2 linked regions of the Drosophila melanogaster genome follow. The protein of the gene in region 1 purifies or fractionates together with the protein of each later gene. This does not show direct contact. Each region holds a gene or a part of one and is shown on either strand. Other genes may lie near its edges. The genes, in order: Polr3B and Polr3H.

The links.
Region 2: the proteins of Polr3B (region 1) and Polr3H purify together in Drosophila melanogaster (affinity purification with mass spectrometry, with the first as the bait; one large-scale study listed by BioGRID). This does not show direct contact.

What each region holds. Positions count from the first base shown.
Region 1 is NT_033778.4:12,033,574-12,050,156, forward strand, and holds Polr3B (RNA polymerase III subunit B), read left to right. Parts: upstream 1-5,467; 5' UTR 5,468-5,545; coding exon 5,546-6,428; intron 6,429-6,479; coding exon 6,480-9,010; 3' UTR 9,011-9,050; downstream 9,051-16,583. Other genes in the region: CG8321 (uncharacterized protein), read left to right, coding at 562-859, 1,915-2,137, 2,203-2,305; CG43191 (uncharacterized protein), read right to left, coding at 2,656-2,810, 2,866-2,994, 3,104-3,514, 3,580-3,592; 128up (upstream of RpIII128), read left to right, coding at 3,850-3,891, 4,024-4,144, 4,198-5,038, 5,104-5,206; Drep1 (DNA fragmentation factor-related protein 1), read left to right, coding at 11,291-11,335, 14,403-14,618, 14,902-15,173, 15,232-15,592. UniProt on the Drosophila melanogaster protein: DNA-dependent RNA polymerase catalyzes the transcription of DNA into RNA using the four ribonucleoside triphosphates as substrates. Second largest core component of RNA polymerase III which synthesizes small RNAs, such as 5S rRNA and tRNAs.
Region 2 is NT_037436.4:11,638,730-11,655,312, forward strand, and holds Polr3H (RNA polymerase III subunit H), read left to right. Parts: upstream 1-10,026; 5' UTR 10,027-10,111; coding exon 10,112-10,222; intron 10,223-10,279; coding exon 10,280-10,762; intron 10,763-10,821; coding exon 10,822-10,950; 3' UTR 10,951-11,770; downstream 11,771-16,583. Other genes in the region: CG32091 (uncharacterized protein), read left to right, coding at 1,339-1,468, 1,928-2,466, 2,532-3,044, 3,104-3,360, 3,423-3,764; CG6071 (uncharacterized protein), read right to left, coding at 4,214-4,463, 4,529-5,217, 5,287-6,649, 6,718-7,304; RIOK1 (RIO kinase 1), read right to left, coding at 7,693-8,070, 8,132-9,451, 9,511-9,570; CG32085 (uncharacterized protein), read right to left, coding at 12,241-12,538, 15,189-15,384.

The sequences.
Region 1 (16,583 bases):
GAAAACCTAAAAGCGTAAGAATTGGAAAGAAAACTACAAAGATAAAAATAAAATGAATACACACATTAAACTATAAAACATGTACATTAAACAATTATTATGGTTTTTAAATTACAAATAAACGTATGATTATTATTTAAATGTTAAAATGGATATCGAAAATGGGCTTTTAGTTTAAATTATTAAAATGTTGTACTTTTTTAATATAAAGTAAGTTTAAAAAATGGCTAAAATATAATTTTTGTTTCTAACTTTTTTCTTTTCAATTTCAAAGTCGCTCTTAGGAGGGCTAAAACTAATTTGAATATTGATAACAAATGAACTATCGATAAGAGGCCGTCGATAGTTCACGGTGCAACATCAACTCTCCCATCACTAGTTCCAATTGCATTTTCTGCGTTGTTTTTTTTCGGGGGTGTGACGTTTTTCTTGTTGTTTTTGTGCTATTGTGAAATAAACCAAACAATTGTCGAGTTAAATAGACACTGATTGTTGTTTTGCCGCGCAGTTCGAACAACGAAAACTAATTCCAAACAAAGCTTACGCCGGCAAAACCACGAAATGCAGGTGGAACCAGCCGAAGTCGGCTGTGACGTCACGCATCGCCAGCAGGAGAAAAACAAAACCAATGGGATTTTCTCAACGGCAGTCAGAAGTAAAAAAAACGGGCAACCGAACGGACGGATCTACACCTCCACGCCGAAGACCTCGCATCCGAAACTTGAGCACTACGTAGGTGTTGCTAAACCCTCGGAAAAGGGGCGAGTGGGAGTGGTGACCGCCCTCGATCCGCTGATCAAAAAGGTGGCCCTTCTCTTTGGGACTCTTATCATTGGCTACAAAAGCGTCATCTTAACGAGTAAGTGTGCCAAGCTGGGGGCTAAACGTAAATATATTGTGGGTTTATTGGATTTCCATTTGTTTATTTCTGTATATCCCCGGTGTGGCGGGGGTGGGAATTCAAGGTTGCAATTGTCGGTTGCGTCGTCTTTACTCGCACTTTGTTTATATTCTCGCGTTTATAAATAGTTGAAGTTCGTGTGATCTCATAGCGGTGGTGTTTGTTCCCCCTGCATAAGCCGCCGAATAGCGAAAAAACGTCTATATAAGGAAGGCAAATTGTTTGATGCGCATTAGCCGTCTCATTTGCATACAAACGTACTGAAGACCTTAGAAAAATCGTCAAAGAGTGATTAGTTGCTTCATCTTTGAGGCAAAATGCCATTAGTTAGTTAATTGTTTGCCCAGCGGCTATTAGTTATTCATCTACGCTTAGCTTAACGGTATTTAGCACTGGGCTTTCGTCACGCGACACATACATGTATATTCTAATGTATGTAATATAAACATTAGAAGGTACCGCTAGAAGGCCCAGGAAAATAACGAATTTTACATTTCTGACGATATAGCAATCTTTATTTGCTGCAGGTTTTGCATTAGGGTGGCTCCAAAAAAAGTGCGACAAAAAATTTAATAAAGTTTAACAAAGCTCAAAGAAAAAACACATGTTTAATCAACTATTTGTTAAATAATTCAAACATATAAATTTGATATAAGCAGAAAACAAATTTTATACATTGTCGAGAAAAGAAATAATTAAACCAATACAAACGAATATTTATTTCCAATCTTTCCCATCGGTCCAAATCTATAAAAAGCGCAACCTTGCTATTTATGGTGTAACGAATGGGGTTTCTGTACATTTTTGCAAATTTCTTTGCCCACTAATTCTTTCCATTTAGCCAAATTGCTTTGATTCCCTCATAGCGTACATATCTGACTAATAAATTTGAACCACCCTAGTTATAAACCCAACATTTTGACGTGTTTATCACGCTAGGACTGATAACAGTGAAATCAATAGAACGACACTCAAAATGAGATACTAACGAGCTTTGGGCGTTCTCTTTGCAGTGCCATACATCACGGGCGATTCCATCCAGGTGCTGAGCCACCAGGTGCAGAGTAGGTGGAACGAGACCTTGGTGTGGGCCACCAGGCACCAGCTGGGCTCCAGGCTGAGTCCCCTGCTGTGTGGCCTTCTAGTGGCAGCTTTCGCGTACGGAATCGTGTACTTGGACAGCGCGGTGCCCGGCGTAAATCCCCCCTCGCCCTTTACGCCGCGTTCCAAGAAACGGTAAGCTCTGGGGAAATCACCTTTAATTATTCATTATAACATGGAGTCTTTACTTCAATTTGCAGTTTCCGCGAGGAGAAGACTGCCTCGATGCACTTGGGCTACTTGTGCGCCCTGTTCTGCGGATTTCTGGTCACGGTCTTCATGTACTTCGACTTGTACTCGTAGAACTGAATACCCATTTCCTTCCAATTAGTTCAATAAGTTCACCAGTATTAGACTTTATACGCCCACTTCGGAATTTGTATTTGTTGTAGTCCTTGAAACTGTGCAATGCTCCTGGAGAGAATCGTCAGGGGGCATTTTGAAGCTAACTTATTTCCTAGGTATATTAATTATAAGTTACTAACTCTATAAATTATTCATGATTTGTAAACTACAAAAGTACAAAATGAAACATTTCACTGTTGATTGGAGGCCAGGATCGAAAAGCTTAGGCTAGCATATTTATACCTTGTGAAAAGTACACTATCGCCTGGCCTAAAAATCTCAAGAAAACTGTATCCTTAAAAAATAAATTACTTTTGCATAGTGTTTTGCAATAAAATATACGAGGTAACATTTTCAATGCGCAGAAATTGCTGTTGCCAGTCAATGTCGCTTACCTGGTCAATCTTAAATGTTTTCAAGCGATTTTCGCCAATAAACTGGCCCACGAGATGGACAAAGCAGCCTTTTAATGAATAAAACTTTGGTTATGTAATGGTTATCAGTTTCCTGCATTTTACCTGGGCTCCAAGTACTCATAACGCCTTCGAAATCGTAGTAAATTCCCTGAAGGACGGGCCCCGATTCTTTGTTTCGCACGAGCAAGGTGTGTTCTCCACGTTTTCCCACAATGATCCGTAGCAATTTTCCTGAAAAACGATAATTAATGATTTAACTTGCCAAATTTAGCGATATTAATCATTCTGTTTAAAATGTATATAGTAATTTGATTTTGAATGTATTTCAGTTCAGACCCACCGTAAACATTCCAAATAGCATTAATTTCCGGATACATTTTTTGAGTTTTAAGGCAGAAATCCACGCGACCAATTAAACTAATTAAGTTTCGTCCTGGCTTCAACATCGGGGAGCTTGGCAACTCCGCTGATTCCTTTTTGGCTGACATTTCGCAACTGGATTTTTCCAGAATAATCGGTGATGGAACGTTCTCCTTTTTGGGCTGAACTTTCACAGCTTCCTCCACGAATCCATCGTATATTAGCTTATTATCCTTACGACAGACAGTTAGTTTTGTTTGCCGCAATTGGGTGCTATTTTTGCGCAAAAGTTCAGCGGCCGTTGGAAAACTGCGATTCAATTGCGAGACGTTGTTGGTCAGTTGGCTCTTAAATTGAGCTTGGTTGTTACCCAGAGGGGTGCGCGGTTTAACTGAAACAATGTTAATTTTTTGTTAATTTATAAATAGTTCTCAGTATTTAATTGCGGAACTTAACCTTTAGCAAACATTCTTGCAGCCATCAAATTGTAACGGCTATATTCCAATCAGCCTGACCATTTTAATTTTGTCTAAGAATACTTTTACGATTCGTTAAGTGTTGGCTAACGTTGGGAATCGACCACATTACTGAACAAATCGATTGTATCGAATACATATCGATTGCACCTCCAACTGTCCACGCGAGAGTTTTATATATTTTATTTTTACATGCATATTTGTTGATAACTGGGGTTTTCTGTGAACCGCGTTTAACTCTCAGCCAGCCATGAGCACAATATTGGAGAAAATCTCGGCCATCGAGTCGGAGGTGAGTGGAACTTGGAGTACCTGCCGATCTTACAGAAACTAACCTGTCTCGCATCCATTTACCCCGCGGATTCCCCCCTGGATTCTATCTAAATCACCGGGTTGTTGGACCACCTTCTCAACTGAATCCTAGATGGCCCGAACCCAAAAGAACAAGGCCACCTCGGCCCATTTGGGTCTACTGAAGGCGAAGCTGGCTAAGCTGCGACGCGAACTGATTTCCCCCAAAGGAGGCGGCGGCGGAACCGGCGAAGGTAGGCTCTTGGATATATAATTCAGGCAATCACTAAACATTATGTATTTCCAGCTGGCTTCGAGGTGGCCAAGACTGGAGATGCCCGGGTGGGATTCGTAGGGTTTCCTTCTGTGGGTAAATCCACACTGCTCTCCAACTTGGCTGGCGTTTACTCCGAGGTGGCGGCATACGAATTCACAACGTTGACCACTGTGCCGGGATGCATTAAGTACAAGGGCGCTAAGATCCAGCTGCTGGACTTGCCCGGTATCATTGAGGGCGCTAAGGATGGCAAGGGTCGAGGTCGTCAGGTGATTGCTGTCGCTCGCACCTGTAACCTCATTTTCATGGTGCTGGATTGCCTGAAACCGCTTGGCCACAAGAAACTCCTCGAGCATGAATTGGAGGGCTTCGGCATCCGGCTTAACAAGAAACCACCAAATATCTACTACAAGCGGAAGGACAAGGGTGGCATCAATCTGAACAGCATGGTTCCGCAGTCCGAGTTGGACACGGATCTGGTGAAGACCATTCTATCCGAGTACAAGATCCACAATGCGGACATCACCCTGAGATACGACGCCACTAGTGACGACCTCATTGACGTTATCGAGGGCAACCGCATCTACATACCCTGCATATATCTGCTGAACAAGATCGATCAGATCTCCATCGAGGAGCTGGACGTCATCTACAAGATCCCGCATTGCGTGCCCATCTCGGCCCATCACCACTGGAACTTTGACGATCTGCTGGAGCTGATGTGGGAATACCTGCGACTGCAGCGCATCTACACCAAGCCCAAGGGCCAGCTGCCCGATTACAACTCGCCCGTGGTACTCCACAACGAGCGCACCAGCATTGAGGATTTCTGCAACAAGCTGCATCGCTCCATTGCCAAGGAATTTAAATAGTGAGTGCGCTTCACTTTCCCTCTGTTCCCTTGGTTATAATAACATTTATGTATTTCCTTCGTAGTGCGCTGGTTTGGGGCTCATCTGTGAAGCATCAGCCACAGAAGGTGGGCATCGAACACGTTCTCAACGACGAGGATGTGGTCCAGATTGTGAAGAAGGTTTAGACTCTGTGCAACGATAACACTTTGATTACTTGATGGCATTTTTTATTCGAAAATAAAAAACGAATGTGCTTTATGTGTGCGTGGATTTAAGGCGGCTTAAGTTTAAGAAAACCCTCTAATTTTTATTTTATCAAATTTTTTAATTGGCGCGCACAGAGGTAATTTAAATAAATTAAAGCTAGATTTAGCGGGAATTAATTTCACTGCCAGCTCTATGGGAATAACTTTGCTATCACTTGCCCAAGTATATCGATAACCGATAGGTAAAGAAACCGCATATCGAAGAACCTCATAGCACGCTGTTTTGTTGACAAACTTAAATTAAATTATTATAACGAAATGGTGGAGCTAAAGATGGGCGATCACAACGTGGAGGCCACCACCTGGGATCCCGGCGACAGCAAGGACTGGTCGGTGCCCATTAAGCCGCTAACGGAGAAGTGGAAATTGGTGCCGGCATTCTTGCAAGTAAAAGGATTAGTGAAGCAGCACATTGATTCCTTCAATCACTTCATCAACGTGGACATAAAAAAGATTGTGAAGGCTAACGAGCTGGTTACCAGTGGAGCTGATCCTTTGTTTTACCTAAAGTACTTGGATGTGCGGGTGGGCAAGCCGGACATCGACGATGGCTTCAACATCACCAAAGCGACCACACCGCACGAATGCCGTCTGAGGGACACCACGTACTCCGCCCCCATCACCGTGGACATCGAGTACACGAGGGGAACCCAGCGGATCAAGCGGAATAATTTGCTCATCGGAAGGATGCCCCTCATGCTGCGCTGCTCCAATTGCGCCCTTACCGGCAAGTCGGAGTTCGAGCTGTCCAAACTGAATGAGTGTCCACTAGATCCTGGCGGCTACTTTGTGGTGCGAGGTCAGGAGAAGGTTATCCTCATTCAGGAGCAGCTGTCATGGAACAAGATGCTCACCGAGGACTTCAACGGTGTGGTGCAATGCCAGGTTACCTCCTCCACACACGAAAAGAAGTCACGTACTTTGGTGTTGAGCAAGCATGGAAAGTACTACCTCAAGCACAACTCGATGACGGACGACATACCCATTGTGGTGATCTTTAAAGCTCTGGGCGTAGTTTCCGATCAGGAAATTCAATCGCTAATTGGCATTGACAGCAAATCGCAGAATAGATTCGGTGCCTCTCTAATAGACGCCTACAACCTGAAGGTCTTCACACAGCAAAGGGCTTTGGAGTACATGGGTAGGTTTGTTTACCCTAGTTAAATTTTGTTCTTAAAATACCTTTTTTTAGGCTCCAAGTTGGTGGTCAAGCGTTTTCAGAGTGCCACCACAAAAACGCCATCGGAAGAGGCCCGTGAGCTGCTGTTAACTACCATTTTGGCGCATGTGCCTGTGGACAACTTTAACTTGCAAATGAAGGCCATCTATGTATCCATGATGGTGCGTCGTGTTATGGCCGCCGAGCTGGACAAAACGCTCTTTGACGACCGCGATTACTACGGCAACAAGCGACTGGAGCTGGCAGGTTCTTTGCTCTCCATGATGTTCGAGGATCTGTTCAAGCGCATGAACTGGGAGCTTAAGACCATTGCGGACAAAAATATACCCAAGGTGAAGGCGGCGCAGTTCGATGTGGTCAAGCACATGAGGGCGGCACAAATCACAGCGGGACTGGAGTCTGCTATCAGTTCCGGCAACTGGACGATCAAGAGATTTAAGATGGAAAGAGCTGGCGTAACGCAGGTTCTGTCCCGTTTGAGTTATATCTCAGCGTTGGGAATGATGACGCGTGTGAACTCGCAGTTTGAGAAGACGCGTAAGGTGTCGGGACCCAGATCTCTGCAGCCCAGTCAATGGGGTATGCTGTGTCCCTCGGACACTCCAGAAGGTGAGGCCTGTGGTCTGGTCAAAAATCTGGCTCTGATGACGCACATCACCACCGAAGTTGAGGAGCGACCCGTTATGATAGTGGCTTTCAATGCTGGCGTGGAAGACATACGAGAAGTGAGCGGTAACCCCATCAATAACCCGAATGTATTCCTCGTCTTCATCAATGGTAATGTTCTGGGTCTCACCTTGAACCACAAGCACCTGGTGCGGAACCTTCGTTACATGCGCAGAAAGGGTCGGATGGGCAGCTACGTGTCTGTGCACACATCATACACCCAGCGATGCATCTACATCCACACGGATGGCGGTCGTCTGTGCCGCCCCTATGTAATTGTGGAGAACCGTCGCCCGCTGGTGAAGCAGCATCACCTGGACGAGCTGAATCGAGGGATTCGTAAGTTCGACGACTTTCTCTTGGACGGACTAATCGAGTATTTAGATGTGAACGAGGAGAACGATTCGTTTATCGCCTGGAACGAGGATCAAATAGAGGACCGGACTACACACTTGGAAATCGAACCCTTCACTTTGCTGGGAGTTTGTGCTGGATTGGTGCCCTATCCTCATCACAATCAGAGTCCCAGGAACACCTATCAGTGTGCTATGGGTAAGCAGGCGATGGGAATGATTGGCTATAACCAGAAGAACAGGATTGACTCGCTGATGTATAATCTGGTGTATCCCCATGCTCCTATGGTGAAATCCAAGACTATCGAGCTTACCAACTTTGACAAATTGCCTGCTGGTCAGAATGCCACTGTGGCAGTTATGAGTTACTCTGGCTACGACATCGAAGATGCGCTGATCTTAAACAAGGCGTCGATAGATCGGGGATATGGACGCTGTCTGGTGTACAAAAACTCAAAGTGCACTGTGAAACGGTATGCGAATCAAACCTTCGACAGAATCATGGGTCCCATGAAAGATGCGCTGACGAACAAGGTTATCTTCAAGCACGACGTTCTGGACACTGACGGAATTGTGGCTCCAGGCGAGCAGGTTCAAAACAAACAGATCATGATTAACAAGGAAATGCCCGCGGTAACATCGATGAATCCGCTGCAGGGTCAGTCTGCACAGGTTCCCTACACCGCAGTACCCATTAGCTATAAGGGTCCCGAGCCCAGTTACATCGAACGCGTTATGGTTTCCGCCAATGCCGAGGAAGACTTTCTCATCAAGATCCTGCTGCGCCAGACACGTATCCCCGAGATCGGGGACAAGTTCAGCTCTCGGCACGGACAAAAAGGCGTGACTGGGTTGATTGTTGAACAGGAGGATATGCCCTTTAATGACTTCGGCATCTGCCCGGATATGATAATGAACCCACACGGATTCCCCTCCCGTATGACAGTGGGTAAAACGTTAGAGCTGCTCGGCGGGAAGGCTGGTCTCCTGGAGGGCAAGTTCCACTATGGAACTGCGTTCGGGGGCTCCAAGGTGGAAGACATTCAGGCGGAACTGGAGCGCCATGGTTTCAACTACGTGGGCAAGGACTTTTTCTACTCCGGCATCACAGGAACACCACTGGAGGCCTACATCTACTCGGGACCCGTGTACTACCAAAAACTGAAGCATATGGTGCAGGATAAGATGCATGCCCGTGCCCGGGGACCCAAGGCGGTGCTCACCCGTCAGCCGACGCAGGGCAGGAGTCGTGAGGGTGGCCTTCGTCTGGGCGAAATGGAACGGGATTGTCTCATTTCTTACGGAGCTAGTATGCTGATCATGGAGCGTCTGATGATCTCATCGGATGCCTTTGAGGTGGATGTTTGCCGGACTTGCGGCAGGATGGCCTACTGCTCCTGGTGTCATTTCTGCCAGTCGTCGGCCAATGTCTCTAAGATATCCATGCCGTATGCATGCAAACTGCTCTTCCAGGAGTTGACCAGCATGAATGTGGTGCCGAAAATGATTTTGGAAAACTATTAACGATGCAATGGCCTGAAACCGAATAAAATAATTGTTATATAATAATAATGGTTAATGATGGAAACTAGCTTAGGTTTTCCAATATTTTTGTAAAAACGAATGGTGTGTGAACTCTGGCAAGGGCAAAAATCCTACGCATTCATTAAGTTTCCATGACCGCGAGCTGCAAATGTCAAAATGAAGAGGTTCAAACGAAGTCAGCGAAAGAAAGTCCTCTTGAATTTTAACGAGGTCCTTTTGCATATCAGCTTTCTGTTCGTTAACAGGCAGACGCAAGCTGTTACTGAAAAGGACTGAGCCGTGTTAAATCGCTTATGTTATCCTTTTTTTTTATTGCGCAAAGGATAATTAGTTGTGTCTGCCCTTTTGGCCGAATTTAAAACGTCTGTGTCTGGACAAAAGATTAAGTTGTTAAGATGAAATGTTTTTTGTTATTCTGTTTCTTTGTTTGCTCTTTGTCCTTATAATCCTCTATCTTATGTGTATTTTGTTTTTTGGCTCAGTTAAACTAAACATTCTCGAGCGGCTTGATGCTTCTTAGTAAAACCAATATCGCCAGGCGTTGATTTATTGTTTTCCCTCGATATTGCCTATTGCCTGATTGCCCGTGAGGCAATTACCTGTCACCTGGCTTCGAGGTGGAGCTCAACCCAGATTCCGGCCGATGTGTCAACGTGTCCGTGGTCAATGCACCGCGGTGCATGCACGTGACCTGCGAACTGCAGGCGACACAGCCACCCACACAAGCCAATGTCCTTGTGCGTCCTTTCGAGTGACCTGCGCTTAAAATAGTCACAGCTACCACCCACTGCTGCTTCTCCTCCGCAGGACACGTAGAAGTTACTATGTGCAGTGCAATGACAGCAAACGGGGCAAACTGCCAGCAGCAGAAGCAGCATCAGCATCCGAGGAACCAATGGTGCGCACTAGGATGACAATTTAAGGCTGCCCCATCTCTGATCTCCCCCATACTTGCATGCCCACCTCTTTTCCGGGCTATTCAGTACCGTTTTATACGTGGAAAAACTTTTGAGAATTATATAAAGTTAGTTGATATTCGTATGACTAAAAGAAAACTACTCATTCCTATTTATACCTACATACCTTTATCCTTTATGGAATCCATTTGCTCAATTAGGCGCTGATAAGTATGCAATAAGTTATAGTTTTTATTAGTTTTTAGTATCATAACAGAATCTTTATTTTTCGCCGTGCACAAACTGATGAGAACCCAATCTGGGGCCACCTTCCGGCTTTGGCTTTCCTTTCATGTATTTTGGCCATTTGTCAAAAGTTTGCTTTTTGCTCTTCTTATCTGGACGGTTCGTTGATGTGTGCATGGCAATAGATGTATATAGATTTAAATGGGTGTTGGCCACTTGTGTAGAAAGTTAAGCGTAGTCCAACTGCTCTTTTGGCCGGGTTCCAAGCGGGCGAGGGGATTTCGAATTGACAACACCGGATATCATTGGGCTGATAATGCGCAACCCCTCCCAATGGACTAATTGAATCCGAAAGCACCTTCCGATGGAAATAGAGATTAGATTGCTGGAATCACCTTAACTTTTCAGCCAGGATTGTTCCAGCAAACTCTTTGTGTTTTCTAGGGACTAGGCCACAGCCAAATGTTAACATATTCAGCGAGAGAGAACGTGTTTTTGACTATGTTTGTTTTCTCTTTGTAAGCTTTATGTTTCAATATATTTAAAATTCTAATCTGTTTAGTGTTTTCTTTTAGAAGCACATTATTACCTATTTTACAAAAAATTGATACAATATTAATTAATTAAATAACCAAAATCTACAGGGAATAATTTATAAAAAAAAAAATATAAAAAAAAAAAGTGTTAGGCTTCAAAAATATGTTTACTTATCATGATTAAAAAGAAACATGGCCAATAGGACATAAAACAAATATTATTTGAACCTATCAGTTAACATTCATTTAAAAGCGAGCACTCGCAGTTCGAACTCAACATCTGTTAGAAGCCCTTTCTCTGCGTATAAAAGGCAGTGCTTTTGAGCAAAACGCGCTCATTTCAAAACCGGTGCTCATCGCAACGAAAGCTCCGCTGCGGAGCCGAGAAAATATTGTTAATTCCCATTTGAAGTGCAGCTTGTGGAAGGAAATTCCAAGTTTGTTTGTTCGGACGCCGAGTGCAAGTGCAAGAAGCAAGCGAAAAGTAATCAAATCTATAGAAAAGTCATTTAATGTGGAGCAATTAAGCCTGGAAATAAAGTGCATAGTGAATAAGTAATTTAGTTGGAGCAAACAAAGCCATGGAGACTGCAGCGAACTCGGGCGACTCCAAAAAGCCTTTCAAAGTGAGTTCCCCCTGTAATTGTAAATGGAAATAAAGGCCGCAGACGAACAATTGCATTTTAAGTGCATGCATTATTTTCCTGGCATGTCCATTTTTGGGCGTTGTTGTTTTCGCCTTTGTTGTTGTTGGCCGCGTGCTGCGTTCGCTACTTTTTTTCCTTTTTTTTTGGATTCTTATGGAAACTGGGTTGAACTTCAGAACTCAAGAGAGCCAAAAGCTCAAGCTAAGAGAGTGCCGAAAGCTCAGTAATAAGCATTAACTGCCTGAAATTTGACTTTGCAAATTCAAAAACACTATTTAGTTGCTTTCTTTCTCTTTGTCCTTTTTTTTACATGTTTGTCTAGCTTTGCATTTGCCTTTTGATTCGAGTATTGGGAATTGTTTGCCTTTAGCATTTGTTTTACTTGACTGCTGGGCCATTGTTTCCTGTTTAATTTGTTTATCTGCCGCTTAAACAGCAGAAAGCTGTTTAAAGTATTATGGGGATGTAAAAAACGTGCTTAAGGTTGCAGAAAACCACTGGAAGTACATGCAGCTGACAACTCAAAGGAAACCAATAAACCACAAAGCTATTTAAATTGTCTGTGAAACACAGAAAACAACTTTCGTAAAACATGACTGGAGATAACATCCAGGAATTCCCTCCCCCACTTTATCCATTAAAATGCCGCTCCTTATTAAAATATTTAATTCAAAAACCACCAAACGCAAATCGGCTTAAAAGCTGTCAAATACCATGACAGCCATGAAAATGCCATTAAAAAGGGAAAACTTTTCATCCCGACATGTCGCTGTAATTAGCCAACAGCCACGCCCACGACCCGCCTCAGGCATTTTGTTAATAATTTATTAAACAATCTACATAATGCCGCGGCATAGTTCAAAAGCAATTTAAAGTTGTCGCCTAATTTCCCCAGCGACTCGAAAATCTGCGGCCTACGCCCATCAAATATTAAAATGTCCTGCGACTTGTGGATTCTGCCCGCATCTTGGATGCAGATGATAGAGTTCCTGGCACGTCTCCTTCGGCTGCTCCTAAAACGGAGCCAGACGCCGGAGGTCGTTGCACGTTCATCTACGTACGTATGTGTGGACCAGGACCCTCGGGTCCTGATGGCTGAGCAGCTCGAGTTAGTTGAGATTTATAAGCCCTCAACTCGCTGCTGCTCTACCAATTTGCCCAAGTCGTTTTGCATACACTTTTGTGTATAAACTGGTCTTCTAGAAAAACACTTAACTGATTTCATCTAGACTTTCACATACATTAGCCTGAACTTGTAGTGATGCTAGTTTGGAAATTTGTATCTTAAACAGTAGCAAGTAGGTAACATTTGTGTTTGCTCATTTCAATATTTAAATATTATTCTTATATTTAAATATTAAAAAATAAAGTTTTACTTACCACGATGTGCCAAAAATTTGCTCTTAATGATATAACCTAATAGCATTTCCATTCAAGAAACAACTTGAAACACTTTTGAAACATGTTTACTTTCCGAATAAATCTTGTTTCTGATTTGTATAAGCTTTGTATAATTTTGCGGGTAATTAGATAAACTGCTAATTGAATTGCGACCGCTTGAAAAATCGACGCCACTTGAAAAATCAACTAATGCGATCGACTAAAACTTTTGACAAGTTTCCGAACAAAAACTATGCTTTTGTTTTCGATGCTGCCGCGACTCCCACTTGTCAAATGCGCCAGTAGTTGGGCAAAGTTTTCATTGTTACAAAGTTCTAGCCCCACACGCCGCATTCATGATATGATTAATATTTGGAGCTTTCGCGGCACAAAAGTTATGTGGCTTTAAGTATTTATAAGATAATTTAGGGACGACCTCCTCCGCTATCTGAGCAAATGGAATTGGGATGATAGAGCAGCTAGGCGCACGAGTAAAATGAAATGTTCGAAATGCAAACTCGAGTACAATTTCATTTAGTCACGGTGCTCTCAAATATTCATGAAGGACCTCAAGGAGTTGCACGCTGTCCGACGTTTCGGGGCTATAAATTCTGGGTGGAATGCATTCGTGCCGCTTGCTCCCTTAAAGTTGCGCCTCCTTGAGCCTCCATCTGGACGGGTCTAATTTATGTTTCGTTTAACCTTAGTGCTGAGGCATCATTTAACATCGCATGCAAGTTTAATAGAGCCAAAGGCTTGCGTCCTTCGTCCTTGCAACCGGCGAACAGCACTAACCTATGGCATTCGCGAAGGAGCATGCAGCATGAAGAATGCTGACATGCATAACTTGTCAAATAAAAAGAAAATTTAAAAGGATACGCCAGGGAATCGGGGAGTGGGAGATAAACGACAAATATTTGCACCGCAGCTGCTAGAGTGCATGTCAAACTGCGTTCGAGATCTCGAGCAAAAGTAGAGGAGCTCATGGAACTCGGCATTCGCAACTGAAATATGCACAAAGTCGTCGGGCTGTGGGAGGCACTTTAAGGTGGTGACATCCCCCACCGGGAAAAAGCCGTCCATAAATCTCAATTAGAGCAAATGGACATTTGACAGCAGGACATGACGTGGTCGCAAATATTGCGTTCATTTATTCATTGCGATTTTTCGGGGAATGGAAAACAATCAGCGTCGAAATGTGGTTGTGTATTTATTATTTAGCAACTTGCGCTACTATTTATCTTTTCTCTTTGTTTAATGGAATTTTCAAAGATTGCCTAATTAAATAACTATAAAAACAGGGTAAAGTTTGCGTTGAAAAGAGAAACAGACTGAATAATTAAGTGCAAGCGGGAGGATAATGAATAAATCAGGCGGAAAGTTTCCATAGTTTCTCCATTCCGTTCACGTTGTTGTCTCAAGAAAAAGGGTGCAGCTAAAGGAAAATTTACAACTTTTCCCATTTCGATGTTTTTCCGTTTTCTTATTTTGGGTGCCGACGATGTGAATATTTTATAGGACCTCAGTTGTTTCCCATCTGACATTAATTTATTATTCATTTGATGAGCGGGGCCATGTGTAACTGCTACTGTCTCCGTAATTGCAAACGTGTAATGGTTTATTATTCCCTTTTCCCGGCACTGTCCTTCTGCGTTTTTATGGCCAGGTCAAGGACGTAACACGCAACATTAAGAAGGCTGTCTGCGCCTCCAGTCTGGAGGAGATCCGCAGCAAGGTGGCGGAGAAGTTCGAGAAGTGCGACCACCTGCCCACCATCCACCTGGACTCCGACGGCACGGAGATCGATGATGAGGAGTACTTTCGCACCCTCGACGAGAATACGGAACTGGTGGCCGTCTTTCCCGGAGAACATTGGATCGATGTGAGTAGCCCTTAAATAAAAGGAAAAGGAAAACAGGCACTTAAAAATAATTATATCAGCACCTTTTTTATTTAAATCACCTCAATAAATTCGTTTTGCGATTGTGTAATTTTCATTTCTCAAAGTGAACACCGCTTAATTGGATAGCTCATTTTATGTGTCCCTCCTTTTATCTGCCATAATGACTAATTGCATTATTTCTTGAATGCCATGAAAGAGCTCCATGAGCATGGGACCAAAGCCAGGAAGATTAAATTAAATGCTATCTGCACTCTGTTTATAGCCCACTCACTACGTGACGATAACCACTCCACATGGCAACGAGGCAGGAACTGGAAACGGAGAGCTGAACGGAGGAGGCGAGGGCGACACCACCGATGCCAACAACTCGGAGTCGGCTCGCATCCGCCAGTTGGTGGGCCAGCTGCAGAACAACCTCTGCAACGTGTCCGTGATGAACGATGCCGATCTGGACTCACTCTCCAACATGGATCCCAACTCGTTGGTGGACATCACGGGAAAGGAGTTTATGGAGCAGCTCAAGGATGCGGGAAGGTGAGTTTAATTCCTTTCCCATATACCACTTAATTGTAGCATGATTTCATGACTTTAGGCCATTGTGTGCCAAGCGGAATGCCGAGGATCGTTTAAATCTGCTGAAGCTATTGAAAGCTGGTGCCATTTTCTGCTCGGAACGTTATCCCGAGGATGCGGAGGCCATTGACCGGGAGATTGGACGGCAGTTGAACGAGGCGGAGAGTGGACAGATGAGCACCACAACGACGAGCAACACCCGCACCATCGAGGTGGTGCAGTGCGACAATCAAAACACGACGATAACAATTACGGTGGGCGAGGCCACCACCACTTGCGCCACAGCCAGTGGAGCGATGGGATCCTCCGCTGCCGAAGCGGCTGCCAATGAGGCCAATGCCAATCCAAATAGAAATCCAAATGCCAACGGCGACATCTGACTGCCCATTTTGGGCAGTCTTAGGTAAAGTCTGCCGGCGGAAAACTAACGCAACTGGGTGCGCCAATCAAAATCAAGAGCCAAAAGGATATACCGAAGACATCAGTCCTGCAACATTGGGTTAACATAAATCGTATTTGTAGCATGTAATTAGGCACTGCGAAATCAGCAAAAACGAAACGGAGACGAAATCAAGTCATTGAAAATGCTTCATAGTATCTAAGAGCAAATGAAAGTTAACGAACAATACACGTACTAGATTTAAACACCGGGTCACGAGGCTCAAGAGAACAAGAGGCCCGCGCAGATTTGAAAAGTCTTTTAGCAATCACAGTCAGCGGAATCGTATTTAACCGCATATACACGAGTCACACCAAGCCGTACTAGATGAATAATAATCAAAGGTTAGCGAAATAAGTATTATACTTGAGGTAGAATCCCACAACCAGAGCGAACCCCAATTGGATGGAGTTGTCCCAGGAAACTGTTGATTTGCTTACCGTGTAAATTGTGTTACGAATAGTAGGTAGAGTGGAAACGCACATCAAATATTGTTTTTAGACCAATGCCATTGTGAATGTCATTCGTTAAAGGCCAATTGAGACTGACTGAATTTATGTGTAATAGGTTTTTTCGTGGTTTGAGCGGTTCGGGAAAGATCGGATGGAAGCCTCCAGCGCTGCTGCCCTGTCCTCCCAGAATCCCCGTCTTCCCGCCCCCGAATCCATAGCCAAATGAATTTAAGCGACAGCGCAAACATTGTTAGCTAATTAAACAATAATGGAACACAATAACGCAAATTGCAATTGCCCAATCAAAGTTGGTAACTGTAACTGTCTACAATTCGAATAAGCAATAAGGGAAACCGTAAACGTAAACGAAATCTAAAACCGAATGCAAACAGTGAACAATTATTAAATATAGTGAAAAGCATACAGTAAATGCAAGTGAAAACCCCGAGGCAAACTATATACACGAAACCAAGTAATAAA
Region 2 (16,583 bases), on another chromosome or scaffold:
TTTTTAGACGCTGCGCGTGCTCAGAACGTGGTGACCAGAATGCTATGGAGGCGTGCTGGAAAGGCAACGGCTAATTGATATGGGGCTAATTGGTATGATAATAGGATTATCGACAGACTCCGACTTGTCAGTGACCTTCTTGAAATGCTTCGCAATCCGCTATTCACTTTGGTTGTGTAATGCATTTTAATTGACCACTGGCTGCTGTGTAAAAACTGGGTCAGATATTGACTAGATTTCTCATTTACATATGTATGTCAGTAATGAAATGAAAGCCAAAGCTCAGAATTCTATAATTCAAATAGAAATTCGATCATTTGGTAGATTAAATGGCTGGGCTCTTGTTATCAACATAAATTAATGCTAGCCATGTTTCCAGACAGACATTGACATTGAACAATATGTAACTGAACTTTATGATAAGCTTAAATGTTTATTGCAAGGCTAATTTGTAGAATAAAATGCATTTCAAAGATTAATCTACAACCTCATTGATCCACGTGAGTCGAGCACAGAATCAATCTTCTTCATTAACCATCCGCCCTGTTGCACCATACGTTCAGGGAGAAAGGGAAACCAAGGCGAATCCGAAGAACCGATTAAAGATTAAGATGCTTGATTAAGACCTTCGGTAATACCTAGTATTATAGTCCAGCTGCACTGCTGCTGATAAGAACGCCGTTGGCATTGGCACATATTAACTCATTCGAGCATTCGACACTGACAGATCTGTCGAAGAATGCAGGTCAGGTTCGCATTGCGATAATTGGCTGGAGGGTATATAAATAATTTTTCGGTTCCTTGTGACCATCGTGACCATCCTGGCCCTAAAATGGTAGCACTGTTACGGATTTTTCCACACCCAAGACGAGTTTTGATTCGAATAAATTATGCCCGTGCGAACACCTATAATTGTGGGGTTCATGCGGAGCTATGGAATTTGGTAGACAGACAGGGCGGAAGCTGGTTTCGTTTTATGCCAGTCATGAAATCTTTTCAAGCCCGTCATTTGTCATCCACGGTATCTTTCCGCTGCCAGTCCATGTCACGAAAATTATTAAAAATATTTAACTGGATTCTCAGCTGTTCTGAGCCATTCTGAGCCCATTCAATGAAAGTGATTTTCCCATTAAAAAAATGAAACTTGATTTATTCAGTTTTATGTCATATCCAATTATTTCATCCGTCTTATTAGCAAATCCCATAAACCAGAATCGCAAGCTTTCATACGTAGTAGCTAGAATATATTAGCTTTATATTTCTGTGACTCATTAAGCCATTGAATATTTTCTAAGATGAGATAAGAAATCGCAGAATATTTAACATAATTTTTTTCAGGGCGCGTAACCGGTGAGCGTCGAATTCTGAATGGAGTCAGCGGCAGTTTCCGGAATGGTCAACTTTCGGCAATCATGGGACCCTCAGGAGCCGGAAAAAGCAGTTTGCTTAATGCGATTTCGGGTTTCAGGTGAGAACAATATGCCAAACCAGACTCGACTGCATTCGACGTTATGGTTTAAGTGTAACAAAACAAAGCCCATATAATTTGATAGAGCCGAAAGCTAACCGGTTCTATGATCCACAGACTGGTGATTTAAACGCTGACTTTATGCCGATTTAAATGCGAAATAACTACAGGGTTCTGTAGATTCTGGGAGGGTGGGTGATTTAGATAAACAAACAAACATCTCCAGTAATATGATGCCATACTGGATCAAAACAAACTCTTCCTTCAAAATAAATGTCGTAGTTTTTAATGAATCTAATGCTTCCTCAGAATATAGCGGAAATTGTCGTAAGATTTGTTTACATGCGGAAAAAGGGAAATGATAAGGAAAAAAACAATGATGGGAAATACATTTCTTTGTTCGATCTGATCTAATATATTATATAATAATAGCTTGATCTAACTTTTAATGACTTTCAGACGCGACGGAGTCACTGGGAACATCAAGATGAAGCGGGACAATGCCTGCTATATCACTCAGGACGACCACCACCAGACCCTGCTGACTGTCGAGGAGCTTATGAATCTCGCCTGCGATCTCAAGTTAAAGAATCGTCACAAAAAGGCTGAAATCATGACCGATATATTGGAGAATCTGCACTTGAATCACCGGCGCAATGTGACGGCAGAGAAGTTGAGTGGCGGGGAGCGTAAGCGATTGTCCATCGCCCTGGAGCTGGTGGACAATCCAAACATATTCTTCTTGGACGAACCAACCAGTGGCCTGGACGAAGTGACAGCGGCCCAGTGCATCCGTTTGCTGCAGGCGATGGCATACGAGGGTCGCACCATCGTTTGCACCATCCATCAACCTTCGGCCACGATATACAACTACTTCGATAGCATCTACGTCCTGGCCAAGGGCCAATGTGTCTACCAAGGCAGTCCCAGAGCCACCATTCCCTTTCTGCGATTGGCCCAGCTGGATTGCCCCAGGCATTACAGTCCTTCGGATTATAGTGAGTTTTGCCAGTTAATTTTATAGTTAAGGGTTTAATTATTGGGATTACTTTTTTTGTTACAGTTATTGAGCTGGTGGATGCCGAGGATGGACACCTGGTGCCAGCACTCAGCGACCTAACCGAAAACGGGAAGCTGATCTATGTGGTCAGTCAGTCTGAGCAATTGGCACCTCAGCAGGCGGTCACCACAATGTTTCTGGAGCAACAGAAGCGTCCATTCTTGCCCGCCTTTTTCGCTGGCAGCGCCGCCTCCACGGATGGAACGCTAATTGGAGGCACCAGTGCTCTGTTGGAGCAAGTGAAGGCCTTCTCGAAGAGACTCCATACGGATCGGCGGGATGTATGTGGGTTTCGTCAGTTTATCGTTCTTATGCGAATAATGCTACTGAGAATAACGCGTGCTCGTTTGGCACTGACCATCCAATTGTTCCATCACCTGCTGTGCGGTCTGTTCTTTGGCCTGATATTCTTCCAACTGGGCAACCAAGGTGCCCGGATGTTCGATCATCTGAAATTCTGCATCGGCGCCGTCCTCATGATCGTGTACACCCAGGTGATGGTGCCCATTTTGAGCTGTAAGTGTTTTGGTTTTTTATTTCCTACTCGAATACTGAATCTGAAGATTATCCTGCAGATCCCGCTGAGGTGAAACTGGTCAAGAAGGAGACCTTTAATCGTTGGTATACCCTCACCCCGTACTACATGGCCCTCACAGTTTCGCGACTGCCAGTTCAAGTGCTACTCAACATCACCTTCATGGCTGTCACGTACTGGATGTCCGGATTGCCGCAGCAGTTCTGGCGCTTCTGCATTTTTGTGGCTGTGGGTTTGATGATCTCATTGGTGGCCGAGGGAATGGGCCTGGCAATTGGAGCCACCTTCAGCATTACGGTGAGTTTCCTATCCGCATACGAGGTATACTTTTGGGCTAAAACTCTTCATTCTCATTGCAGAATGGCAGTGTGGTGGGTCCGATGCTAATAGCTCCTCTGATGGGTTTGGCCGTCTACGGATTTGACTTTGCGCCGCAGGTATCCGGCGGAATGCAACTGCTGATGAAATTCAGCTATGTGCGTGTGGGCGTGGTTTCGTTGGTTTTAGCCGTCTTCGGATTTCAGCGGGAAGAACTCGACTGCGATGCGATATACTGTCATTTTAGCGATCCTCGCGTGCTGCTCAAATTTTTGGATGTGGAAAAGGTGTCGATGCTCCATCAGTTCGGATTGCTGGCCATGCTGATGCTGTTCTTCCGAGTGATGATGTACATCAGCCTGCGAAAGCGATGCTATGCCTGATTTTGAAACCAATATTCCAGATGAATCTTATCCCTAGCTTTAGGCAATGTCAATGCTGTGATGTTCGATTTTAAACAGACAGATAGATACTTCCTGTACATACTTATGCACCATTCCCATGAAAAAGAACAAAGGTTAACATAAACATAAGATAGCTTAAGTTAGGATATAGTTCACATACACAAATGCCTTTTAAAAGCCAAATTATTTGCACGGATATAATGCAAACGTTGCGAAGAAATCTTGAGATTAGCGAAATGTATATTGATAACATTTCGGTTAAAATCTAAATGATACGACAATCCCCAAGTTGTTTGCAAGGAGACGGCTGCACATTTTTTACATTTTTTGTGGTTAAAGTAATATCAATTCGAATTGTACAAGAATAAAACCCATGTTTTGACGATTCAACCTTGTGTAACTACTATTTTTATTGATTTAACAATTAGTTAATTGGAGTCCGAATCAGAACTGTTTTTGGGACCATCATCCAGAGTAAAATCTCGAATGGCTTTAAGCAGATCAAAGTACAAGTTATTTCGCCAATTCACTCTATCTAAACCAGACTCCAACGTGGATGATAAGCCAGAAACCATTGAGGATGGAAGGTTCCTATGCAAATGATCGTTCAGCGCCGAAAATTCAGCTTTTGTAGACATCGCATTGATAAACGGGGTCAAAATCAATTTAACGTCCTTGCTGGAGTAGTTTGAATATTCATTTTCAGTTTTTTAAAGTTATCTTAAAAGATTTTAAATACTTACCTTCGCAGAATTTCCTTAGAATGGTCAATGAGAAACTGTTTGCCCACATAGTAGCCCAATGGGGATCTCAAAACGGCGCTCAGAAGACTGGCTGTCATCGTTCTTGGAACCTTTTTTGAGTCAAGCGCCCAGCTGAGCAACTTCTGCATCGCCCAATACTCCGTGGTGCAGCTGAGAGAATTTAGAAGGATACTCCTCTCCTTATCATTCTCGGACTCAAAGAACATATCCCGCACCATTATCCAATGAACCTCCAAGCCGTTACGAATGCCCCTGCAGAGCACGATTTCCCGAATCTCCTCCGGAATGGATGAGCTAGATTTCTGGTCCATCGCCGCCTGAAATCGCTGCTGTGCGTCCGTTAGGCATTCCTTGATTTCGAACTGACACGCCAGCCGGTATAAAATCGCCGACAACGACAAATCCGATTTGGTGGTGTCCGGGGATTCTGTGGTGTCCGAGGATTCCGTGGTGTCCGGGGATTCTGTGGTGTTCGAGGATTCCGTGGTGTCCGGGGATTCCGCGGTGTCCGGGGATTCCGTGGTGTCCGGGGATTCTGTGGTGCCCGAGGACTCCGTGGTGACCGGCGATTTCGTATTGATCGGTATTTCCGAACCAGTTCTGGCTTTTGTTGAGAGGGAATTTAATGTTGTTTTAAAAGCTGGCTCAATAAGTTTCTGCATGTAAAGCTAAGAAAAAGTTAGGTTCATATTAGATAGATATAGATTCAAAATTAAGTTTAATTTGGTAGCTCCCACCTTAAAGATACGAAAGCCCGTAGTCATTCGCATGATACTCTGTAGCTTCTCCAAATTCAAAAGCGCTGTTTCCCAAACCAAAACGCTGGTCTCATTCGAAAGATATGAGATCACGTTTAAGGTGACGTTATACGGCAACCGACCTGACCACGATAGACTGAGGGCATCATCGACCAACTGGATGCGACTAAGCTCCGGAATCTGGGTGAAATCCTGACGCAGAGCCTCACTGATCAGCTGCAAGTTGTATGAATCGTAGAAGACGCGAAGAGGAACTGCAGCATCCACATTTATTAATAGCCAATCCTCCGGATTAGCGATGTGGCTGAGTTCCAATATATCTCTACTATTTTTCTGACAGCCGAGCCACTCCACCTGAGGCAACGTAAGATTCCTGACGATGTAAGCGACCGGGACCCACCAGCAGTCATTGGAACTGTTGTCCAAATATTTCTGATAATAGCGACTCTGCGTTATGGTCACAATTTGCTTCGCATCGTCGCGCTGGACGGTGAGTAGCGGGAAACCTGGTTGCTTCATCCATGACTCCATCACAGTGGGTAAACTCACACCGGTGGGCAGTTGGTGACTTCGGCGTGCCCCTCGCTGGAACTCCTCCCACAGTTCCTTGGATGAAGCAGATGAGTTGGCGTATCGCTTAAAGAACTCTTGCAGTCCCTTCAAGAACAACTTATCACCGAGGGCCACCTTTAGCATGTGGATGAGCAGACACATTTTCTTTTTGCGGAGTTTCTGGTGTCCGGATTCCTTCACATCGGTAGCGATCGATTTTACTTTGGCCAAGGAATCATGATACAAAACATCTAGACGCGTTTTTGAAAGGTGAGTCGTGTTATACGCCTCTTTGTCCATGGCCATCACCTGGACGCTCAGATAGTAGTTAATGCCGTTCCGCACATATTCTTCATCCGAATCTTCGAGGTTCACCAGCAATCCGTTCCATTGCCGCGCTACCAGCTCCGCAAGCGTTTCCTGCAGGCTTTCAAGACCGTTTTGTCCTGAGTCCACGATATCCTCGCCGTACACCATTATGCCCTGACCGCTATACATTTCTGTATATCTAGGCAACACTACATGATCGACCTTACCACCCCAATCTGCTCCTTTTGGCAATGGATATGCGAACAAGGTTTCGTATTTACTAAACAAATTGGGCGTCATTTCCGGCACCTTCGCCAGTTTCTCTGCCAAGTGCGGCCGTGACCAGACGGTGATATTCTCACCCGCAGCCGCAGGACCACTGTAAACTTTCTCTAATTGATGAAGAGTCCACATGACCTGCTGTGTGGCTAGCGGTGGTGAACCCATAAATGTCGTCGACACATAGTTTTCGATCTCCTTGCTGCAAGTATAGAAACACATACATAACTTTAGTATTATAAATATGGGTTCTCTAAAGGATTTACTAACTATGGTTTCTCCTCTACGGGTGGCATATTGCTGAGTGCAACGTATTTCCGGTCGTGCACTAATGTTATGTTATATGGGGTCCGAAAGCGTGGGTCATCGAAGCAGGGAAACACGGTGTGAGCATAGTCCGGTTCCAAGCGAGTCGCGGAGTAGAAAACCCTCGGCGTTTTGTCGTAGTAGCCGGCAAAGTAGCCATATTGCTGACTCCGATCTAGGTTACCCGAGAATAACATGTTGAGTGTGTATATCTCGCCACTTCTGAGTGGGAGTTCGATTACTATCTTAATTAAGCTGGTCTTTTTAATAATTCTCTTTATCTGGAGAGCACCGATTTTTCTGCCGCTAGCCCATCGGTATATCCATGTTCTTTGTCTAGATATTGTTATGTTGAGAGAATTTAAATAGATGACGCGAGTTGGTTGTGTCGCTTCAATATCGATGGACACGATGCCCTCAAACTGGTTCTGCTCATCTTCACTCCCCAGGCGCGTAAGAATTGTCAAATTATAGCGCAGTGGTTTCACAAAGGATTCTGCCAATTTTGCCGATAATAATGTGCAAAACAATACAAGTATTTTAAGCAACATTGCTGAAAGACTGCGACGAAACTAAGCGATTCGTAGCAACTGCAACTAGGAACTTCACCTAATTTACGATTTCACGCCTTTCTATGGATGCGGTGGTTATTTAAAAACAAATAAAGTGGAGCAACTAAAGGTACACTTATTCCTTTAGATATATTACTTAATATTAACCGAAAATTCGATTAGAATACTAGTAACGTAGTGTGTTTAATATTTCATTTATAGCTGCGGCGTTCCCCGCAGCCATTTGGTATAGTAATACCATAAGAAAATGATTAGCTACATCGTTTTTATATAATTTCATTATATACGATGGAGCCAAGTTACAAAACTTGCATAAAATATTTAGAACTTAAACTCACAGCTATATTAACTCTATTCAGAAACAATCCTATTTTTTCATGCTGCCCATTTTCTCTTTGCGTTTCTTCACGTGCTTTTTCACTTTAACCTTGCGCTGCTCGGCTTTCGCATCTTTGACGGCCTTTTTGCGAGCCTTTTTACTCTCCGGAGACTCTTCTCGTGGTCTTGCCGAATTCTTAAACTTCTTGGCATCTTCATCGTTGTCGTTATCCTGCGAGTTGTCTTCGTCCTCACTGCCGCTCGTTTGGGCCTCACTACCGTCATCCTCTTTGGCGGTCGAGGATTGCAGCACGTCTGGCTTTTGCTGCACGTCCAGATCCGAAGTCAGACCAGTGATCTTTCCGTAGATGAGATTTTGCTGCACCCCTTGCTTGGCCTTGGCTACATCTCTCTCAAAATGGCGCACCTAGAAGCGGAATACGAATTTGTAATGTGACATTGATTTTTAAATCACGGCGCAAACATACCTCGTCCAACCTTTTGGGAATGTAGGTGTTCTGCCAAACAGCCTCATCGATCTTCTCCTGAGCCGAGATGGCATCGAAATCGCGGTCCTTGATTCGCTCAGATATGCGTTCCAGGCACTCCTCCATGTTCTCTGTGGTTATAGTCTGATCGGTGATGAAATCAAAAAGTTCCTTCACCGTCATCGTTGCCACTGCACGTTTTCGGAAGAACTCGGATATGTTGGTGCAATCCTTGCGCAGGAAGTCAAAGGAATGCGGATGATCGTGCTCCACTGACTGGCTTACATCGATAATGACCAGCTGACCATCCTGCAGCAGGATGTTAAACTCTGAAAGATCAGCGTGCACAAGACGGCATTGATTGTAAATGCGCCACATGATGACTACGCAATCCCTGTACAACTCTCGCGCCTTTGAAGTGCTGAGCTCAACATCCTTAAGCTTTGGCGCAGGCCATCCGTCGCGACCGCAAAACCGCATGACCAGTACATGTGAGCGTAGCAGGATTGGCTCCGGTACAGGAACGCCAGCGTTGCGCATTCGCAAGTAGTTTCGCATTTCCTTCTCCGCCCAGGTACGCACCATTTTGCGCGGATTGTGCTTGCAGTAGCCGTGTCGAAACCGGAATTCGCCTGACACATATTTGTCGCGGTCCTTAAATACTAGAATGGACGTCTTGTAGATCTTGATGGCAAACTCCTCTTCACCATTTTTGGAAACGGCGTGATAGACATTAGCCTCTTTGCCCGTAGAAATGCAGCCGTTGATTTCCTGTATCATTCCGCGATTCAGCAGCTTGAAGAGTATCATCCGGGTACGTGGATCCATTACCTGTTCCGCAGTGGCTCGGTCGTGTTTGTCACGCACCTGTGTCCTATCGCGCCGATCGAAGTTCACCAGCCGGTTGGCCGCCTGCGCGCTCATATTTGTGGTGGGATCGTACTTTTCTACATTAATGCGGGCGGAGTAGCGGCGCAACAGCTTTTCGTTTGGTTGGTAGCTGCTGACGCGTTGTGAGCCACCAGATGCACCTCCAGCGCCACCGCCGGAGCCACCTCCACTGGCATTTGTTAGCTGCGGCTGAACGTGAAGCTTGTTAAAGCCCGTATAGGCCTCCTCATACGTATCATAGTCATCTCCGATATCGTCGTAATCGTCTTCATCGTATTCCTCTGGCTCTTCGTCCTCCGGTTCATCCTCTTCGTTGGCGGTTGCTATAACTTGTGCCAGGTCATCACAGTCCTCTTTGGGTGTCAGTTTAATATCCTTAAAGATCTCGTGCTTCAATGTGAGGTTCTTGAAGTCGTTTGTCCACTCGGACTAAAAAATTGGAAAGTGTAAGAAAGATTTCATTGTAAATTCATAAGCACTTTGCTTACACTTCGCAGGTCTTCTTCGTCCTCCTCGGCGTCGCTATATTTGTGGCTGTCGTTGTTCATCGCGAGATGCGCAGTAACTACTAATAAGTATTAAATTCCTCGTTGTATTTATAAGGCAAAGGCTTTTAAATCGGTGCTAGATTTACACAAACCTATTAAAGCTCAAAATTTCACAAATTTGTACAACCAATCGCACGTGTTGCGAATGCCATTCACAAAGAAGCGTCGACATTGTTTTGGTATTTTCCTAAGATGGCTATATGCAGTAAGCAAATGTGCGGATAAATATTAAAGCGATTTTGTCTTGCCAAACGGGCTTAATATCGTGCGAAAACTATTATTTGTATCTTAATTTGTTGCAACTGAAATAAAATTTAAAGAAATTCAATTGTTGGCTTTGGCAATCAGCTAGCTTAACAGCTGACCGAATGGTTAGTTCGGGAGTACCCTAACTTAGCAATATAAATTCATATAATTGGTATTTTTGGTATATACTGCATGAGCATGTGGTCACACTATGGCTACACATGGTACTGTAGCTCACATTCAAAACAATGAACGAGCATTAGTTTAAAAGAAGATATTTAAACAATTTGGCGACATGTTCGTGCTGGCGGAGCTGAAGGACAATGTGAGGATTGCGCCGGACCAGTTCCATCTGAAGTTGGTGGACGCCGTGCGCGACGAGATCGACCGAAAGCTGGCCAATAAGGTGTGTAAGTTGTGACTTCCATGTGCACGTCCTGATTCTCGATTTTCTACGTGACAGGTCCTTCTTAACGTGGGATTATGCATTGCGCTGAAGGATATTGTTTCACTGAAGGATTCCATCATCCTGCCGGGAGACGGAGCCTCGCACACGGAGGTTCTGTTCCGGTACGTGGTCTTCCGGCCGATGGTGGGCACCGTGATTACCGGAAAGATTCGAAACTGCAGCCGCGAAGGAGTCCATGTGACACTTGGTTTCTTCGACGACATCCTCATTCCGCATGCCGCCCTGCAGCATCCTTCGCGCTTCGATGAGGCCGAACAGGCCTGGGTTTGGGAATATCCGCTCGAGGATGGCGCCAAACACGATCTCTTCATGGACGTTGGCGAGCCCATTAAGTTCCGCGTATCACGGGAGATCTTCGAGGAAACATCGCCCATTGGACCACCGAAAACTGAGGCTCAGACTCAGCAGGGAGCTAGCACATCCGCTGCAGTCGCATCAGCTACCTCCCAAGAAGTGAAGACACCGTACAGGATTATTGTTAGTTTTTTGCCGCCCCTGATAAAAATCTGTATTTAACGAGTGCTTCTATCCTTCAGGGTGCCATTAACGAATCCGGCCTAGGCGTGCTCTCCTGGTGGGATCAGCAGGGAAAGGACGATGAGCAGGACGACGAGGAGGACGAGGAGTACGATGACGAAGATGGCGAAGGCGCATGCGAAGAATGATCCTGACGCCTACTCCTTTGTATAGATGCCACTTACATTAGGGTTAAGAATTCGATTTAAGATGAAGTCATGACCATAAAGTTTGATTTAAGTCTGATTAGATCACAGCGTGTTTATGATTTTCAGACCATACCATACCATAAAAACACAATTAAATTCATTTTACCATTTATTTATTTTATCATGTACTTGTAGAGTTGTGTTCTTCTTGGTTTAAGACTGCAGTTTCCATCAATAGCAGTTTGCTTAATGTTCTGGATGAAACTCTCACACTGGAGTTAAAAACAAAGCATTTACATTAAGTTTTAGTGAGGGCTTTAGTTTAATGAGGAGAGCGGCTCTATAACGTAAGCTAGATATATAGAGTATCTTTTGACGGCCAGAAGTCGATTGTTTATGGTTCGCAATTGCATTTTGCAATTTGACAACAATTTGCTAAACATTATGTTAAATATTGACCTCATTGGTAGCGTGCTCATTATGTCACCTTAAAATACTTTCAGTAGCAGTAAGTTAATTACAGATTAGTCATATGGTACAATCGAAGTTAGGTTTCACTGGTCAGGGTATGCAAAAGTCGAGGATTTTTGTAAATTTCAATTGCAATTTCAATCTAAAGCTGATGGCAACTTTTGCACGTTTTCGCTAAACTCGTAAATATTTTCAAATATTCATCCTTTGTTGTTGTGTTGCTTCTTTGAACTAATGTAATTAATTGCATATTTTGATTCACTTGGTATGTTTTGTAATTTCTATTTGTTGTTTGTTCGTCTTTTGGGCGCAATGTTTTGTTTTCATTTTTTTGAGTTTGGTTTTTTTCTGGTTTTCTTTTTTTTTCAGTAGTATTTTACACGTAGTCTGCATGTTTAAATACAGCGAGAGTAGTAAATAAAACGTTTGTTAAAAACTACAATAATATAAATAATGTATATTTATAAATATAAATATATATTCATGTATATGTATATTAGACATATTGTATTGCATGTAAATAAATATCATCTTCGGGTCTTTTGTGGTACATCATCGTCTTAAACAGATCAACTTAACTAAGTTCCGTATCAAATCACAGCAGAAATCAAAATAAGTCTAAAACTATAAGGGATAGAGTACAGTGTTGACGGAAAGTTAAAGTCACATAGCACGCGAGGAACTTGCCGACTGGAGGTTAGGTGTACCAAATTAGCATACTCAAATGGTTCGCCGCATCGCACCGAACCCGAACCCAAACCGAACCGAATCGAAAATCAGTGCTCAGGGGTTCCGTATCCGATCATCTCCATCCATCGATTATTCGATGATCAGGCAGCGAGGCAGGTGCTCCTTCAGGTAGTCAAACAGCTCGTGCGACGCACCCGGGCAGTTGGTCAGTTCCAGCTCCTGCAGATGCCTCAGCTGGATCAGGCTGGACAGACCCGACGAGGTAAGCAGCGGACAGCCGGCGAGGGAAAGCACCTGGAGGTTCCGCATGGAGCAGAGGTGCTGCAGCCCGAAGTCGCGCACCTGGGAGCACCAGCGCAGGAAGAGGGCGGTCAGCGATAGCATTGTGGAGATGTATCCCACGCCAATGTCCGTTATGTGCACACACCTGAAAGGATATTAGATAAATCTATTATATAAATAACTCGATGTAAAATGCGGAAACTCGCAGTTTAAGACCATACACAAACTGTTTATATCAATAGGCAAATCTCAAATAAAAAAATTTATTTATAATGTATATATGTACACATTCATACTTTTAAGAATTAAATAAATACTTTTTAAAATTAAAAAAAAAAAATTGGTAAATAAAAAATCTAAGAAGTCCGAATATGAAACAGTTGATAAGAAATTCATATGTGAGAACCGGTCTTGCATTTTATGTTTCATTCGTTTCGTGCCACGCGTAGCATGCAGTCATCTTTAGCTTGGATTCCCTTGTTCACTCTGCTCCTTGGCCACCAGGTTTCAGCCAAGCTTTTGGATGAATCCTGTGGAAATTCCAAGGAGCTGAACAGGGCAGGACTACAGGCAGCTGCTTGGATGACAGCCATCAGTAATGCCTCGCATTTCCTGTGCGGTGGCACGCTGATTCACAAACGTTCGTATTTAAATACATAATGAAACAATAAAAGATTCTCACATTTGATAATACAAATCTTTGATTAGGCATTGTTCTAACCGCTGCTCGGTGTATTGATCAACAGGTCAATCTGTAAGTATCCTCAAATTATGTAGATACTGACATATTTTTGGAGGAATATCTGTTTTCGAAAAGCATCATTATCTTTACTAAATATCAATATTATACTATTATTTTTATTTATTTTAGATTTGTGGAGTTGGGGGCTTACAATATTCCAGATGCTGATACTATGGACTCTAGAATTCCGGTTTCCACAGCAGTTGTACACCGATTCGCCTCTAAATCGCCCATCCAAAATGATATTGGATTGCTTAAACTGTCGTACAGCGTAGTTTTTTCGGGTAAGTTGGCAATTAAACGGAATTGTGATAGTCGTAAAACCACTCATTTATAGCCGACATTCACTCAATATGCATAATTACGGATAAGAGAATCATGAGTTCCGTACAGTCGATTCGAACCTTCAAGGCCTTTGCCTGGGCTCCAAAAAGTCGGGGCTTGGAAAGCGAAAATCTGCACGAGCTTATCTTTCATAGGCTAAATCAAAACGAGTGTAATATTAATCCCAGTTTGAATCAAATATGTGCTGGTGCCTTAAATGGAGAAACCAGTGGTCTCTATTCTGGAAATCCGTTGACCAAAAGCGTCATCATTGCTGGAACTATCAAACGCGAAGTTCAGATCGGGATAGTAAGTTATAAAAACCCAAACCGCAAAGGACCAGTTGTCTTTACCGACATTACATCCCATGTGGACTGGATTGCGGCCTATGTGGATAGATTGAATTTGGAGGAATCAGTTCCGAATGCAATACAAGAAGAAGAAATTTTAACCGGAAACTCAAGAGCTGCAAGTGTTAGTAACCCGGACATATGGTTGTATAAGGATTGTGGTGGCGATACCATAACATCGCTACAAATGGGCCTTGTTTTTGGAAACAATTTTAAGGCGAATGGGGTTTTTATCACTGAAAGTGATACTAAAGTGATTACTAAAAACAAAATCAATTAAATTAATTGCCCTCATTCCTTCTAGATTTTGTTATTACAATTGCCAGAGGCTTGCCAGAAATAGTGTAAGTAACATTAACTTGATTAATAAAACAAGTAGCCAAAGCTTTACCTTCTTATACAGAAATGTTCTACCGTTGACTACAACTATTAGCAATATTCTTGCTGTCGATGCGATCATTAGATATGGCAACTACTCAGGATTTGATAAACATGATATAGCACTGCTTAAACTTAAGCAGCCAGTCACCTTAGGTAACTATTTTCCAGAAGGTATCAAGCCAATCTGTATGCTTCAAATGCTAAGGCATCAGATGGAGGCAGAATCTACTCCGCCTTTCTCCAGATTTGTACCAGAACAAAGTGAAAATCGCATCCTCATTACTGAGCATAACGTTGAGCTAATTAGTCCCGAAGAATGTGCGAAGCAACTACATGGCGAAATCGAACAGAATCAAGTTTGTATCGCAGATTCTTTCGGAATTACTAATACAAATTATTTCAGAGGCGAAGTGTTGGGTAAAATTCTAATGTATTCGGCAAAGAAATGTGTTGCTCTGTTTGGTATTCTAAGTTATTCCACTTCAAATGTTCTAGTTTATACAAATGTTATGAGATATACGAATTGGATAGAGCAAACTGTGAACTCATATTCATAACTGTCATTAACTTCAAAAATGTTTCGAAAAGTAAAGTAACAATTTTCAATTAAATTATAAATGAAAGTAGTAATAAGTATTTTATATGTACGACTTGGCAAACGAATTAAATTGAATAATAATATTTGTATAAATAAAAAACTAAATATGTTTAAGAGTAATGTATTTGAGATCAACCAAATTGTTTCTGGTTTTAAAATTGTTCTGCTTTTTTGAGCGGCTTTGTTTATGGTTGTTCATAATTTAAACGGGAAAGTTTAATGATTTTTTTCTGTCTGCAACTCGCTGCAGTTTTCGAGGACTAATGGTTGCCCCCGGAGATGAGGTTGAGCTACTCGGCGACGGAAATTGAATTTTACTCATGAATAATTACGCAGCCGGGTGGTGAGGGGCAATGAGGAGACGCGACCTTGTGCACTGATCCGGTGGACTGGTACTCACCTATCCAGCGTCAGCTCCTCCAGCTGGTTCAGATCACAGGCGATATACTCGAGCGAGGCGTCCGTGATGCGGGGACACCAGGACAGGTCCAGGGCGCGCAGCTTCTGCAGGTTCTCGGCAATCAGCTCCACTCCATCATCCGTCAGTTTGCTGCAGCCGGAGAGGCTTAGCACCGTGAGATGCGGCAGGGAGTGCACTGTAATTGGAGGAGAAAAACGGGCAGAGTTTGGCATTAGTTTTGGGGTATCAGCTGGGACTCCTTCGGCTCACGTAGCCGCCTGCAGATGCTCCACTTTGCAGTGAGCACGTCCCAGGAAATGAGTCCTCTGGAGTTCGAATATAAGTATGTTGCCTTACTGAAGCGTTCAGTTGGCCCCGCCCCGTTTAAATCGAAATTTAAGTTTCACATAAGTTTCTTTTTAATACCCCGTTAAGTATACGCAGTGTTGGGTCGAAATGAAGATACATATATATGGTCAGTCATAAATATATAGTAATAAATCGAGTCTATTAAAAAAACAGCTGAGCACTTATATTTCAAAAGTAACTTTTCATTTCTTTGACTTGCTTGATAGAAAAGATATTATGAGAAATAGTTTCCTTCCTACTTTATTTAAGATGGCTTAAACAATTCAGCAGAACGTAAGCTTATAACTTATAATACCATTTGAGTGGTAACTAGGCTTTGTGGTTACTCGGCAAAATCCAATTTACCTAAATCTGACTTGCTCCAGATTTGTTGCTAAGCTGCATGCAATCTTGAGATAGACTAATGTGTCATGCATCTAATTACCACGGCTATTTAAAGCGCACAGCCTCAGCGGCTGTTCTACTTATTTAAACTGAGGCAGTTCCTCAGCTCGTTCCATTTATGTCGACTTCGGTTTACCCTGTTCCACATTTTGCCGTGTCATTTTCTGGCTTGTTTGTGCAGCTTGCTTTTCCTTTGCGAATCTGGGATTATTTGTCGTTTCTGTGGATAAAGGCACTACTAACAAGGTTTTGAGGGCTTCGCTTAAAGCGCGAGAACTAAAGAGCATATTTTGGGTAAATTTAAAGAATATTATTTAACAGTATTTTCTTATGTGGCCAGAAAGTCAAAGGGTTAACTGCGCCTGCTGAGCATGGATAATCGATAAAGGATAACGTGTGAACCATAAGGTGAGACTGTAGAACTGCAATTACCGTCTGTAAGCCGCTTAAACTTTGCTAATGGGAATTAGCCATATTCCTTGGCCAAATATGTGAGGTGAACGAGTTTGGGGCACGTGCGGCGGCTGCGTAAACAAAGATAAAGCGCCCAAAGACAACAAACTTCCAGGCAGCATAATGAGTGTGTGTGTGTGTTTTTGCGGGAAACTCCCATACCCTTGCTCCCCAAACACTTCATCCCTT